Danio rerio: one gene and its partners. The protein of the gene in region 1 purifies or fractionates together with the protein of each later gene. This does not show direct contact. Links are inferred from orthologs where the notes say so. Each region holds a gene or a part of one and is shown in the gene's direction. Other genes may lie near its edges.

The links.
Region 2: the proteins of stat1b (region 1) and ep300b purify together in Homo sapiens (affinity purification with western blotting; 10 studies listed by BioGRID). This does not show direct contact. The link is inferred for Danio rerio from reciprocal best matches to the Homo sapiens genes STAT1 and EP300.
Region 3: the proteins of stat1b (region 1) and irf9 purify together in Homo sapiens (affinity purification with western blotting; 5 studies listed by BioGRID and IntAct, with this or other methods). This does not show direct contact. The link is inferred for Danio rerio from reciprocal best matches to the Homo sapiens genes STAT1 and IRF9.

What each region holds. Positions count from the first base shown.
Region 1 is NC_133184.1:42,946,508-42,951,517, forward strand, and holds the start of stat1b (signal transducer and activator of transcription 1b), read left to right. Parts: upstream 1-1,727; 5' UTR 1,728-2,711; coding exon 2,712-2,839; intron 2,840-5,010. UniProt on the Homo sapiens protein: Signal transducer and transcription activator that mediates cellular responses to interferons (IFNs), cytokine KITLG/SCF and other cytokines and other growth factors.
Region 2 is NC_133178.1:23,767,902-23,772,402, reverse strand, and holds part of ep300b (histone acetyltransferase p300), read left to right. Parts: intron 1-879; coding exon 880-1,338; intron 1,339-3,652; coding exon 3,653-3,886; intron 3,887-4,280; coding exon 4,281-4,437; intron 4,438-4,501. UniProt on the Homo sapiens protein: Functions as a histone acetyltransferase and regulates transcription via chromatin remodeling. Acetylates all four core histones in nucleosomes. Histone acetylation gives an epigenetic tag for transcriptional activation.
Region 3 is NC_133187.1:13,853,560-13,858,703, forward strand, and holds the start of irf9 (interferon regulatory factor 9), read left to right. Parts: upstream 1-1,717; 5' UTR 1,718-1,798; intron 1,799-2,733; 5' UTR 2,734-2,781; coding exon 2,782-2,838; intron 2,839-3,703; coding exon 3,704-3,826; intron 3,827-5,144.

The sequences.
Region 1 (5,010 bases):
CTCCTGTGGTTTGTAATGTAATGGGCAGCACAAATGTCTTGATACCTCAGGCTGTTGATGTTGCCATCCACTCTGCAGATCTCTTGCACGCCTTAATACTGAATGTAACCCTGAACTATGATTTTCCTTCCAACTGATTTGTGTGAGAATCTTGGGTCCATGCAAGTTCCAATAGGTTTTCTGCAGTATTTGTGATGATTGGGATGCAGTTTGACAGACGATTTATCAGAAAAATCAAGTTATTATTTGTTGCTCTTACAAATGGAATTGATGACAAAAATTTGTCAGGTATTGTACAAGGGCAATAGCACAAAAATAATAATTCAATGAAAGGAAAACATAGAAAAAGTAGTAAGTAATAAAAATATAATTAACAACAAGACATCCATTCTCAAATTTTGGTGTAAATAGTAACAAATCATTTAAGATAATACGTTTGAAACTTTTTTCACTTTTTTATTTCTTGTTTTTTTATGTACAAAGGTAGTAATTAATAAGTAAAACTAGGTTATTTATTTCCCATTTACACTTATGAATAATGAATTATAAATAAAGACAATATACAAAATATTGAGATTGAGTCTTCATAATAAAATATACTTAACTTTGAGTTGCAGTTCTATCTTGGTACTTTGTTTCAAGCTAAAAGTAAAATCTTACCAGAATAATCGTCTGTGCTAGATTACATTTAAGAACATTTAACATTTACAAAGATACAATATGAACAAAGAGAGAAAACAAGAGTCTAAAAGTTTAAATGTTTTACAACAAGAAATGCAATATAATTATTCAAGTTTAAGTATTTCACGTATACATCAGAATCCTTCCTAATAATAAAAAAAAAGGATGTTTCTTTGAAAATTTACATTTATAGATATAAAATTTAGCTAGAAAAAGCAATGAACTAATAGTACCTTTACAAAGAGAATGATCTAAGTACAAAGTAACCAAAGAATATAATTTTTGGGGTATATACACAAGTTTGGAGTAAGAATTTAATGAAATTGGAAAAGTCAAACCAAAACACTTTACAGTAAGTACACTCCCGAAATAAATGATTTAGTGTTTTGTTATATTGAGTATAAAATGAGCATTTAAGTGAATAGTGTTATTAAATTTATACAGTTTGGTATTTATTAGGACTCCTTCACCCAGTGGTGTGCAAAAACATAACATGGAATTGACAAATCCAAGTTTCGTTTCTGTTTCTTTCCAGCATTTGATTTTAACTCTCGTTTTCTCGGAAAACGTGTGCTTACCCGATGGCTAGTGGCTGTGCTATGAGTTTCGTAACCTCCCCCTGACAACAAGCATCTCAGCATGAACTTTCTGTTCCGTACGCGTTTTATTGATCATATAGCTATTCTTATGTATCTTAAGAAATAAATAATGAAATGTTATCATCTTATTATGAAGTATTAGTATCCGTCCATCAAAAGGCATAACAACATCTTTGTGTTTCGCTGAGTTTCTGTTCTCTTATCAGTTCCTATTCTGTATTGAGTGTGAGAGTAAAGGGAGGGCTGCGCTTCCCTGGAACAGCCATTGGCTAGGGGGCGTGCTTTTACTGTACGCATCAGAACGTGATTGGTTGTCATCGCTGGTGTATTTAAATATGGCAGTTAAAGCGTTACCATTGGCCTGAGAAGTTAATGTGACATCCACCTCTGTGAGTATTCTATAATTACGAAGTCACTGAGGAGAATAAAAGGCTGAAGCAGACAGTTTAGTCTACGCGTATTTTATCTGCTTATCCCGAGATACACTCCTTTAGTGACTTGACTAAACGTCCACGTTGAAAGGTAATACATGTTATGCGTTTTATATGAGTTTGTTCATGCAAAATGCTATGGGAAAGCTGGAGATAATGAAATGCCACGTAAAGCAGCTTTTTGTTTATAATGTAATGAAATATTAGTGAATGTCATATCATGTAATTTGTAATTTCATTTCATACATTTTAGAAAATGAAAACGTTTTAAATAAGTAAATTAATTGCATAGATTAGAAGCTTTAGGGATCTCTTAAAATAATTTTCTGCTGTAGATGGCTATTTCATTTTCTCATATCTTTTGATCATATCTGCATGACTTTTATGCAAAAGATTTTATATGCATGGGCTTGATGGCTATTAAACTTTTTTACAATTTACAATGAGTTAAAAATAAATCAAACATTTTAAATTGTAAAGTTATAACTACTTTTAATTAAATTATTAATTAAAATAAATAATATTTTATAAAAGTCCCATTTATTGTGAAAAATGTATATATGTATTTATATTCACAACTGGTCAAAAGTTTGGGGTCAGCAGGATTTTAAAATGTTTTAAAATAAGCTTCTCCTGCTCACCAAGGCTGTATTTATTTCATCAAAAATACAGTACAAATAGTAAAATTGTGAAATGTTATTGCACTATAAAATAACTGTTCAAAAGTAGTTTGTCATTTAATTTAATTGTTTATTCCAGTGATTTTAATGATGAATTTCCAGCTTCATTACTCCAGTCTTTAGAGTTCCATGATCCTTTAAAAATCTCTCTAATATTATTTTATTATTATTATTACTGTTATTATTATTATTATTATTATTAATGGAAATAATATTAAAAGCAATAATAACTAAAGTAATAATTTCATAAAACAAGGTGCTTGGTGAGAAATGTCAACGCAGAGAGGGTTGCATAACGGGTTGCAATTTTATGTTTGCAGATGACGCTCTGGAACCAGCTGCAGCTGCTGGACTCAATGTATTTGGAGCAAGTGGACCAGCTTTACGATGAGGCTTTCCCAATGGAGATCCGACAATATCTATGTCACTGGATTGAGAGTCATGACTGGTGAGATTTTAAAATAATGATTAAAAATTTTTTGCATAATAAATTGCTACCAATCATCATCATTTTGAGACAAAGAGCATGTTTACATGGACACCAATAATCCGGACAATTAGGACAATTCTTTGATTAAGAGTAAACAGCGATTTTTGATTAATTTAATCCGATTAAAGTCATAATCGAACTAAACAGAAATGGAATTAAGACATGTGGAGTATGCTGATTTTAGTCGCATTGTTGAAGTGCAGTACAGACATTTAAACACCGCTGTGACAAATCGGTCTTGTTGTGGGAAGAAGTAGACAGGGTCGGCGATATAGTGTAAATGAATGTTTTTTTTTCCACAGTAAAGCAGGTCAACACTTTGGGCCCTATCATACACCCGGTGCAATGAGGCGCAAGGCGCGACTCAAAGGTTGTTTGCTAATTTCTGCATGGTGCAAGAGTCATTTTGACGTTTTGCACCACGTTATTTAAATAACAAATGCATTAGCGCTCATAGGCATTCTGGTCTAAAAAACCAAGTGTATTAAGGCACGTTGCTATTTTAAGGAATTTGTCACAATCAAACAAGATTTAGAGAAGGATCCAAATGCAAGTAACGTGTTTATTTGATGCAGTCAAAACAAACCAACAGGGCTGTATGCGTGTGCAAGGACAACTGGGAAAACAGGGTAGGAAACAGACAGACGAACGGGGTCCTCCTCACAGTCCTAAGCACAGACAGACCCACGAGCAAACACAACGAACTGACAAAGAAACATAGAAGCGTCGCCCAGATATAGGCACGATAGTAAGCCTCAGCTGGTGAGCTAATCAAAACAGAGAGTATAGTCATAGCACGTGACTATAACCAATACACGTGCACAACCAAAACAAAACCCACGTGACCAAACAGACACTCCGAAAGGTGCACAAACCTGCAACCGTGACAGAATTAAATTGTCTGTTCAATAGACCAGATCAAAGCAGGTCTAAAGTCCAGCGCAGAGCAGGTTAGTTGTGCACCTCGCTGACACATTGCTTAATACATACAAGGTGTACAGCAATACACAAATATCTTTACAAATTAAAAAGGATTCAAGGATTAAAATATAACAAAAATATTCTTTTCTAGCCTACATAAATATAAAAACCATAATTTCATGCCTTCTTTATCTCTGGGGGCTTTTTTAGTTTATTCATTACAATTTGCTTTTGTGTAATGTTATTATTATTAGCAGTATTATTTATTATTTACATATTTACATGGGTGTTGCTAGGCCTATTCTACTCAGCCCCCCTAAAACTTTTTGCGATTAGCTCATGAACTGTACACTCAATTATTGCCTCAGTCACCTTTAAATTTAATATGAAACAGCGGCAGAATTCCGCTCCTCCCCTTCTTTTCTTTTTTCATTTGATCAGCAAACCACAGCCGTGGACGTCGAGAGAACAAGGTGTTATAATGTCTGCTTATTAGCAGTTCTTTGATATAGATAACCTTGTATCATCTGTATCCCAGTGTCATGGAGGAGCAGTGGGGTTTTCTCTGCGTTCACCTCATTAGCACAGCTGTTTCCTCCAGCGAAAAAAGTAACTCTTAACGAACATTTCACAATTTTTATTTCAAAATGAACTACCAATAAAAACACTTTACAGTTCGTCTGGCACTAACTATACCATACAGTCTTGCACAAAAAGCATTAAACACAGTGACAGAAGCACTTTGAGAATGTACTCAAAGTTTTAACTGTGACTGAGTCACTGACAGAAATAGAAACATCAAGTGTTGTCTAGTACTAAATGAATACTTCTTATTTATTATCATTCAGATCCTGAAATATGTGAATTAGAAATATGTGAATTAGAATATTATGTTTGTCATTTAATTAGAAAAGTGGCAGTTTATTTATTGAATACCTGAAATGCACAACAAATGCACTCGAATATAGAAAGTGTTTTTTACTATGGTAAACAGGTGGGTTGAGCCTACTTGGCTTACTCAGAACTCAATCTGGCTATGCCTGTCTATGTAATACAATGGAATAATAGTATACAAGCCTTATTAAACAAACATTTTTAAGTGTATTACTATTAAATTACTACTTATAAATGTAATATTAAGCTTTATGTATATATCAATTTTTTTACCTTATAAGGAGCTCAGCCCCCCTAAAATGAAAATCCTTAAA
Region 2 (4,501 bases), on another chromosome or scaffold:
TTGTTATTCTGACGTGAAGTGACAAGTGTGAGCGCATGGTGTCCCTCACCATTTTCTATGCGATTTGCGCTTGCTCTCCCCTAACATTAAGGCATTAACCGTTTTCTCAGAGGATGACAAATAGACAAACCATTGCTGCAGTTTCGATACAAGTTTATGGAGAAAAGTAAAAAGCACATCAGTGTTTGGATGCGCTCTGATTGTCTGAGGTAATTAGTCTGCCGTTATTATCGAGATGTGTGTAATATGAAAATATGTGAATATATTCTATAAGTGTGAAGCAGATTAGTTAGTTCTACTTACATGAGTCGTGGTACGCTTGCGGCATTCGGAATAGTTGTGATATTTTCAACTATATGCGCCTGGAAATTGTGCGTAGGTGTGTGCCGCTTGCACAACATGTGTGCGTTGCTCCCATATGCACGACGTGCAAGTCACACGACTCCATTGGAAATGACAAACTTGCACCATAAGCTTATTGGCAGTGCTCAGCAGCCACATTTTAATAAAACTATAGCACTTGATAACAAAACATTATACTGAACTTTTTTTGATCAATATTGACAATCGTGTTCACTCATTAAATACCAATACCTATTTTGTCGCCCAGCCCTATGTACTAAATATAATCAGTAACGCACAGAATTCATTTACAGAATCATTTTAAAACAAACTGGCGTATTAATGCTGTTTTTTTAAGTGAACTCTCAAATCTGTTTTTAAACCAATTCCTTGAACTCAACCATAAACTTACAATCACTTCAGCATTTCTAATGCATTGAGCTATATAGTGAGCTAAAACACTAAAGAAAATGTTTTAAATACTTATTAATGTTGTAAAACAATCAGATTCATCCTTTTATATTCTGTCTTTTTCAGAATCAGATGCCCACTCCACCATCACTATCAGTCCATAGTCCTGTAGCTCAGTCCCAGTCGTCAGTCCCAGTCTCTGGAGCCGCTGCTGGCCCTCAGGGGCCTCCGTCCAACCACCCTCCACCTGCTCCTCAGCCCGGTCTGCACACGCACTGTCCTCCCTTACGCCAAAACTCCCCTTCTCCCGCACGTAGCCTCACCCCTACCCCTGCCCCGCACCAAACACCCCCGCAGTTGCCTGGTAACCAGACCCCTCAGCCCCACACCCCTAATTCATCCACCACTATGGCTCCACCTGCATCACAGCTGCCCCCTATGGCACAGGGGGTGGCCTCCGAAAAATCCAGTCAGTTACAACAGCAGTCGCATGGAGGTGGAGCTACTGGAGGCCCCCAAACAGGGCTGGCGTCATCTGTGCCTTCCCAGAACGCCCACGGGCTTTGTACACACCCACATAGTCCTGTGAGTATCACAATCGAGTGTGTTTTCATTTGACCCTGTTTATTTGGTAAATAACAAGAAAGTACAACTCAAGCCCAACATTAGAGACTTAATTGATTTCCGATAACACATACTGACCCTTTTGACACGGAGTCCTGAAGCATAAAGTATTAGCGAGACCAACAGCATTAATTCAAATTGGATAAAGAAAGTGAGCATGTTTCACTGTGAAGAGGTCAAATATTTGAGTTCAGTATAAGTCGACCCATGTGCTTGAATGCTTGTGGTATAACTTAACTCCACCATTAATCTCTTATGTGCTTTGTTTACACTAGTTGGCTATAATTAAATGATTTAAGAGCATGAACTCAGTGAGTAAGCGCTAAAGCATTTTGAGCTCATTTAAGTTGATTCTTCAACCTGATTTCACTGGAAAATTGGCTATTTTATATTTTGGTTAATCCTTGGCTAGTTAGAATTGAATGCATATAATATTATTATTATTATTATTATTATTATTATTATTATTATTATTATTATTATTATTTAAAATATAATTTTTAAAATTGTATGAAAGTGTCAGACTTTTGATTTTTTTTGTATGTTATATAAATTCATACAATATTCTCAGTACATCAAATTACTAATTGCCCTGAGATTGTGTTGGATTCTTTGCTCTCTTAAACCTTTTTAAATGTGCAAAAGGGAATATTCTATAAGTAAAAGCACTATATATATATAGAGAAACTTTACATTTTTAAAACCCTAAAACTTTTAAAGACAGACCTTATGTTGTGTAATGTTGTATGACCTTATTCTGTTGAAGCCTTTTCTGCATTTTACACTTTATTTTACAAATTTCAAATGGTTTAATTTTGGAATCTGTGGTGAACACTACATTATCTATGATGCTTTATAAAATATTCAGCCATTAAAATCTCTTTTTAGTTTTGGCTATTTGAGAGGTTGTTTTTTGGCCAATGGCTGTTTTCCACTATTTTTTTCTTCAGCTCCTATGCTACTGTTTTGTTAGTCATTCCTTCTGACTTTAATTTACTATTACCTGTTTGTTAACGACGACAAAACATGCCAAAATGATGCAGTTAGCATCACCCTGATTCATTGGCAAAAATCCAGATTTTTTTTTTCAAATTCCTTTTTGGATTATTGCAGAAAATAAAATCTTACTCATTTTGTTAACAGCTATGACAGAAGAATGAATTAATGAATGAAGCCTAAATACAACTGGCAGAAGAAGCTGAATTTAAAAGAACTTGCGAATCAGTTAATCAATGATCAAGCAGAGATGAGAATCAAGATAATAAAGAAAAGTATTTTCTTTCTTTCATAATTGAGTTTTGAAATTTTGAAAATTAATATTTGTATCTATTTCTCAATGAATAGAGGCTATCTATTTTGGTGCATTTAAACAAAACACATTTAATAAACAGATATATATATTAAAATAATGTTTTAGTCACCAAACATATTTAGAAATTGATAGACAATACAATTAAATTCAAGCAAAATATTGCAAAAAATATTCAATCTACAAAATTTTAACTTAATTTTTATTTATTTTTTTGCTTTTCTTGATTTTTCCTTTTTTTTAGATTTGTATTTAATTTCTTTCTATAACATATAAATTTGGGTGTACTAGTTTTTGGCTATTTTTGGTTATTTCTTTAGATAAGCTCCAGCTTTTTGCTTCAGTACTGACTAATCTAATGTATATGCTCAAATATAATATTGTAGAGCTCTCTATTAAACAGAATTTGAATTGAAATTGATTTGTCAGGGGTGTACTTATATATGCTGAGCACTGTATATAAATAATAAATTGGTTATATTTTATAATTAATGTTTTTATTTTTATTTGTTGGATAGTTTTTACCACAAATGTTTGTTTGTTTATTTGGCAGGGACAGTGTACATTAATAAGCATTCCTGCAAATGCACCAGAATTAGCCAGAAGGCTATTTTTCATCTGATGTCACTGAACAACTTAAAAAAACAATACAAGAATTATACAATAAATCAAACATTGTTAAAAAGTACTAAAATAGACAAAGTTATGTAGATAATAATAAAAAATGAATATTTACAAATTAAACTAAAACACCAAAATAAATCACTTAAATTATAATTTTTTGTACCTTTATTTAAAAAAGGCCACAAAAAAAAAAAAAATATATATATATATATATATAATTATTATTACATTTTCAGCTATTTTTCTTAGAAACAGCTGGTTTGTTTTGGCTGTTGCCTTTCATTTCGGTGTGCCATTGCTTTTTGTCCTGATCTGCTGTTCTGATGTGGTACCACCCCTCAGCTCTCTCAGAAATCATCTGCGACTGTGGACGGTCAGGCCTCGACTCCTGCCTCAGTCAGCAGTGCTGACCCTAGTTCACAACTGACATCATCCGAACCCACAGCCCCTCTTGACTCCAAAACTGAGGTCAAACAGCAGGATGAAGAGGAAGAGAATGAGAATGAGACTGAGGACAAGGCCTCAGGGAAAATGGCCGCCATGCAGACCGAGATCAAGTCTGAGGAGAAACCAGAGGTGAGCGAGGGAAAGAGCTTTTACATGTTAAAACTGATTCTTTCTTTTCCAGCTTAATTTCTATCCCATCCCTAACCCTAAGGCTAAATTATACTTCTGTTTGAGTGATTGCTATAACCCACAGTGCATGCCTTGAGTGTAGTCATGCATTTATACTTCTCTGTTTGTACTGATCTGCGGTAACCCTTCTAAAATGCTAGCAGGCACTGGGGTTTCCATGCAAGTTTTTTTGCGGATGGTTTGTTTATTCCGGAAATATGTGCAATGCTGACTTAATGTACAAGTAGTATAAACTCACCCTTTTAAGGTAGAAAAAAGGCGGGAAAACTGACGCACCATCCACACCCGCTTGATAAAAAGTATAAACTGGCCTTTATTTTGATTGGTCCGCTAGATAAAGAAGGAGGAGCCTGCAGGTGATGAATGTAAGACGGAGCCAATGGAGACATCCACAGCCGAGGACAAGAAGCCGGAGGTCAAAACTGAACCCAAAGAGGAGGAGGTTGCAGGAGCCAACAGCACTCCCGCAAACACACAAAGCAAGAAGAAAGGTACAACAAACATCATCGCACATCATGTCTACTCAAAATATACTATATGTGAGTGAATGTTTTA
Region 3 (5,144 bases), on another chromosome or scaffold:
AATCCAGTACTGAACTGAGAAAGATTCTGGAAGTTCTCCTTTATCAAATGCTAACTATATATTTTTTATAATTCTTCAATTGGAACATAATTAAAATTAAACTCTAAGCGCTTCTCTTTTCAAGCCATGTCCTTTAGAATCCCAAAAACAGAAACAGAACATGTTCTGTGGAAAAGCAGCATTTAGACGGCATTTGAGCTTTCTCAAATTCTGTTTTTTTCAGCTCTTGTGATCTCACTAGCCCTGATGTATTTTTTTATAGTCCCCAAATTTATTCACTGTAGGCTTTGCAAAGCTAACTCCCCAATGTCTGCCTTTGCATTAGATTTGAGCATCTTATATTTAGAGATGTTGTTTATGTTCACACAGCTACATTACACATCAACTAAAGTTTAAAATATTATATCTTAGTAGACCACCCCTTCAAACTTGCTACTTCTGAATTTTTTTCTAAATAACAGCTTTTAGCATAACAAAACCATTAAAGCTGTAGGTTTAAGTGGGCTAAGGACGAGGACAATGACAGGATTTTTTTTTTCTTTTATAGTGTAAAGTGTTTTTAATGTTTTTTTTTTTTTTTTTTTTAAATCAGAGAACCAAATGAATGTACATTGCTTTACAGAACAACTCAGATTTTTTTACACTTTTTACTTCAAGGACAGATATGTAGGTTATATATACACCAGCAGGGGTCGTATTTAACAAATAGGTTAACAAATGGTGATAGACTAATACAGTAAGAGGAAATACAGAAACACTATCCTCACAGTTATACTGTGACCATTGTTTTATTCTCTCTCTCTCTCTCTCTCTCTCTCTCTCTCTCTCTCTCTCTCTCTCTCCATATATTTCTCTATAAAATATGCTATCTACTTTACAGTATATGCTGTATAGACCTAGGACGAAATAATTAAGTAAAAAAATTAAAGCATTTTATTTGTGTTAGGCAGTAGCCATGATGAAAATCTAAGTTTAAATAGAATATTAGTAAATGACAGCTAAATCATGGAATACTTTGCATTTCTTAGTTAAACTTTTTTCACTAGATGCCGATTATTGTTTTCCGCTTTTTCTTTTTTCTTCCTTTTTACATTTTTATTTATTTATTTATTTATTTATTTATTTATTTATTTATTTATTTATCTTCGTGTAGGCTTGTATCATAGGCTGGAACCAGAGCTTGAACAAGAAATCCGTGCTATCACGTGATTTCTGGGAAGAGCGGCGTTTTTTTTAAATGAATGAAACTGGCAGAAGGGAAACTGACAGAGTGAGGCACTAAAGTGGGTGTTGCTTTAAAAGTCCTTACGCATTAAGGCATTTAGACTTATTAACCAAAGAAAATATAAAATAATATTACTTAATAATATATCAATCTAATTAATTATATCAATATAAAGCCTACGTTCCAGTACTTTACGCATACGCAAAAACAACTGAAGGCTGCGGCACGACGTCACGTGGAACTGTAGACTTTTCTCATTGCTGTTGAAATCGATGTAGTCACAATCGTTTAAGACGGACGAGGAAAGTCAATTTAAAAAAGGATTTTACTCTACACGTTGTCAATGTTTGTATCCTATGCCTTGATCTGAATAAATGATATTGTATTAATGGCATAATAATAATAATTTGGCACTGTGAGCTGCCGAGCGCCCCTTCAAATCTGAGAGGCATTTAACTAGGCGTAAACAGCCTGGTTCGCTCCACTGCTTTTGCTTTCATTATTTTTTGTGCGATGGGCTGGATAAACTGTGATCTACAGAACGACTGATACTGCACAGGACCGACACTAAAGGTAATTAGAAACAATGTACATAATGTCTATTGTCTAAATGACCTTAATCTAAACTTAGAGTTGTCCATTAATCTCACGTACAGCATTAGAATGCAATTATTTGATGTAAATGTTTTTAAAAGAAAAAAGTTGAACAAACTAAATACCAGGTAACGTTATTTCATTTTCACGCATTGTTTTATACATGTAACTGTAGTAGCTCATATTGTTTACAGACATTCTGTGGTAACTTATTGCAGTTAGGTGTTTATAACTTAGTACCGCCGCTCCCTATAGTGCGCAGGCTTCTTAGGGCACTATAAAGTGGCAATTCTATCGGTGACTCTATTGATTTCCACAAATGAAAAAAAATAAATCGGTTTAAGTCGTAAACGCAGTTTAAAGGAAATGTGAATAGTATAGCTCTGACTGGTCAGTTTTAGATTTCTGGTAACACTTTACAATAAGGTTCATTAGTTAATGTATTTACTAACATGAACTAATCATGAACAACACATGTACAGCATTTATTTATCATAATTGAACATTTAATAATGCATTATTAACATCCAAGTCCATGCTTGTTGACATTAGTTAATGCACCATGAGTTAACATGAACTAACAATGAACAACTGTATTTTCATTAACTAATGTTAACTAGCATGAACAAATACCGTAGTAAATGTATTGTTCATTGTTTGTTCATGTTAGTAAATGCATTAATTAACATTAACTAATGAACCTTATTGTAAAGTGTGACCAGATTTCTTTATTGTTTTATAGATGCTGAAAGTATCAAAGATTAAAACTAATCCACATTCCAACTCGATCAGTTCTAAAATTGCTTTGACATATTGCAAAATTGGAACTCAAATGAATTAAAGTTCTTATTTTTAATAAACCATTATGAATTTGTGTAAATTAAACAAATACATGGTATTTTTTATTGTTACAGGTGTTACAATTATCGTAACTGGAGCTGTCATTGTATGATTCTTTTCAGATGGCATCTGGAAGGATACGCTCCACACGCCGTCTGCGTTCATGGATAGTAGAACAGGTGTGTAAGGAGTGTGCATAACAGATATGATTTCATAGAATCATGTGAATTACATAAGTTAGAAGGAAGAGCAGTTCATTTCTCAGACATTTAGGTTCAAACTGGCATGATAAATGTTTAATATCACCTTTAGCCTCCGTTTTAAAGCTACATGCCGCAAGTCTCCCATTCCGCCACCAGTGTTCTTTAGATGGTGACATGGTGACCCTGGGGGTCATTTGAGGATAGTCAACTGAACCTGTTAGCATGTTTAAGCTACCCGCATTATTTGTGATATGAGATGTACTCTGGTAGTAGCCATAAGATATAAATATTATATTTACAAATGGATGGACATAGTAAAAAACACTCATGTTAGTTGTTTAGTGGTGCTTAAAAGGAGCTCAAAGTGTGCCAAGAAAACATCTACCACACGTCCAGCATCAGCCTGAACTGCCTATACAAGGAAGGGATCAATGTTTTATGTAGTTTACATCAAATTTCGACCTTACATCTGCAGGCCAGGCAACATTTTTGAATCTACTATTGTTAAATTTTGGTTTCCTGTTTGTAGCTGATATAATTGGCACACAGTGTGGTCTTCTGCTTTTGTAGCCCATTTGTTGCAAGTTTTGGCGTGTTGTGCATATAGGGCTTTAGTTATTGTTTAAGATACAACTGATCATGTCAATCAAACACATACAAATTTCAACCTCTAATCCTTACGTCAGTAAATAGCACATTCTGAGAAGTAGTTTTAGATGTTTTTACTGGTTTAAACAGCAAAGTCATGCAATTAATTTCTCGCAAAGCTGTCTAATTCTGCTGTAGTTTGCTGTTGTTGAGTTAGATTTTTATTTTTCATTGTGTGTGCTGTGGGATGTAGGTGAATAGTGGGAAGTATCTCGGCCTGGTTTGGGACAACCCAGAGAAAACCATGTTTCGCATCCCATGGAAACATGCAGGAAAACAAGACTTTCGCAGTGAGGAAGATGCAGCTATTTTCAAGGTACAATGTGTTTTTATTTTCATTTCTCGTTTATCTTTGTTTCTGTCTTTATGGAATTCATGTTAGACAACAGTTAATTCTGGAGTTTCATTGGCTGTTTCTTTAATCCTGCAGTAGTTATATCTCTATAACGAGCGCATTCACCAATTAGTGCAATCAATTGCTCAGACTATGACTTTAAGTCAAGAAGTTTGTATTGAAGGCACAATATGTAAGTTTTTTTTTTTAATAAAATAGTGTTTTCATGATACTGGAATTTGATACCAGTCAGTAATGATATTTTAAACATGTCCATTTCCCGTTTACATTTGAGCGTGTTCTTAAACAGCGCTAATTTGCCATTGTGTTCACAAGCCCAACAGAAATGACTGTGATTGGCCGTGAGGGTCCTTAGATCACCAAGCTCACCACAGTGTAAACTATAGATACAGGGACACTGGAGCATTTCAAAGCCATGAAGATCAGTTGATTCATCATCGAATCGCTCATATGTCAGCTCATAAACAGACCAGCTGATCTTTGTGTTGTCTGTACCGCTTGCTTTCACTTTCAACAGATTATTAATTGGCCTAACGTTAACCGTGTGCGTGTGATCATTCTTTGATAATTACACACGGTATGTATTTCACCTGCTTTCTTTTGCTTACAGTTATTTTTATTGATTTGGTTCAATTAACATTTTTTCAATAACATTGCTTTAATGGGACATTAACTCCCCATTTATGTGTAGCTAACTGGTGATCTGAGAGACCTTTATCTAGGACAGATTACTGTGCATAGTTTTAGATACATGACAATAATTATTTTTTAAAAGTCAATTGTTTTTCTTTTTTTTTTATAATTTTTTTGTTAAATAAAAAGTACAGTATACAGATATATTCTGCTTGTTTTGACACAGCTAAGAAGTAATTATTGTTTGCTGTGGTCAGAGATAAATTAGGTAAATCCTTAATTTTGAGCTCTGAAAAGTCATGTGAAATAATTACTAATTGCAATATAACAATATGAAACCATGACCCATTTGCTCATGCTCACTGAGCAAGCTCATACACAAACACACAAAAAAGAACACAAAATCTAAATCAAGTAACAAAACAAAATTGTGGCTAGTGAAAATAGCACTAGTAGTTTTTAACATTGGAAAACCACCAGCCACAGTGGCTGGTGATCAAAAAAGTTAATGCCAAGCCCTGATCGTGACAACACTACAAAACACTAGAACAGTTATATATAGTATGGTGACTTATGTACTTGCAGTATCCCAAATTCTTTGAAGAATGTTCACATCCAGAGAATTAAGAAATTTTAACTAGTGACA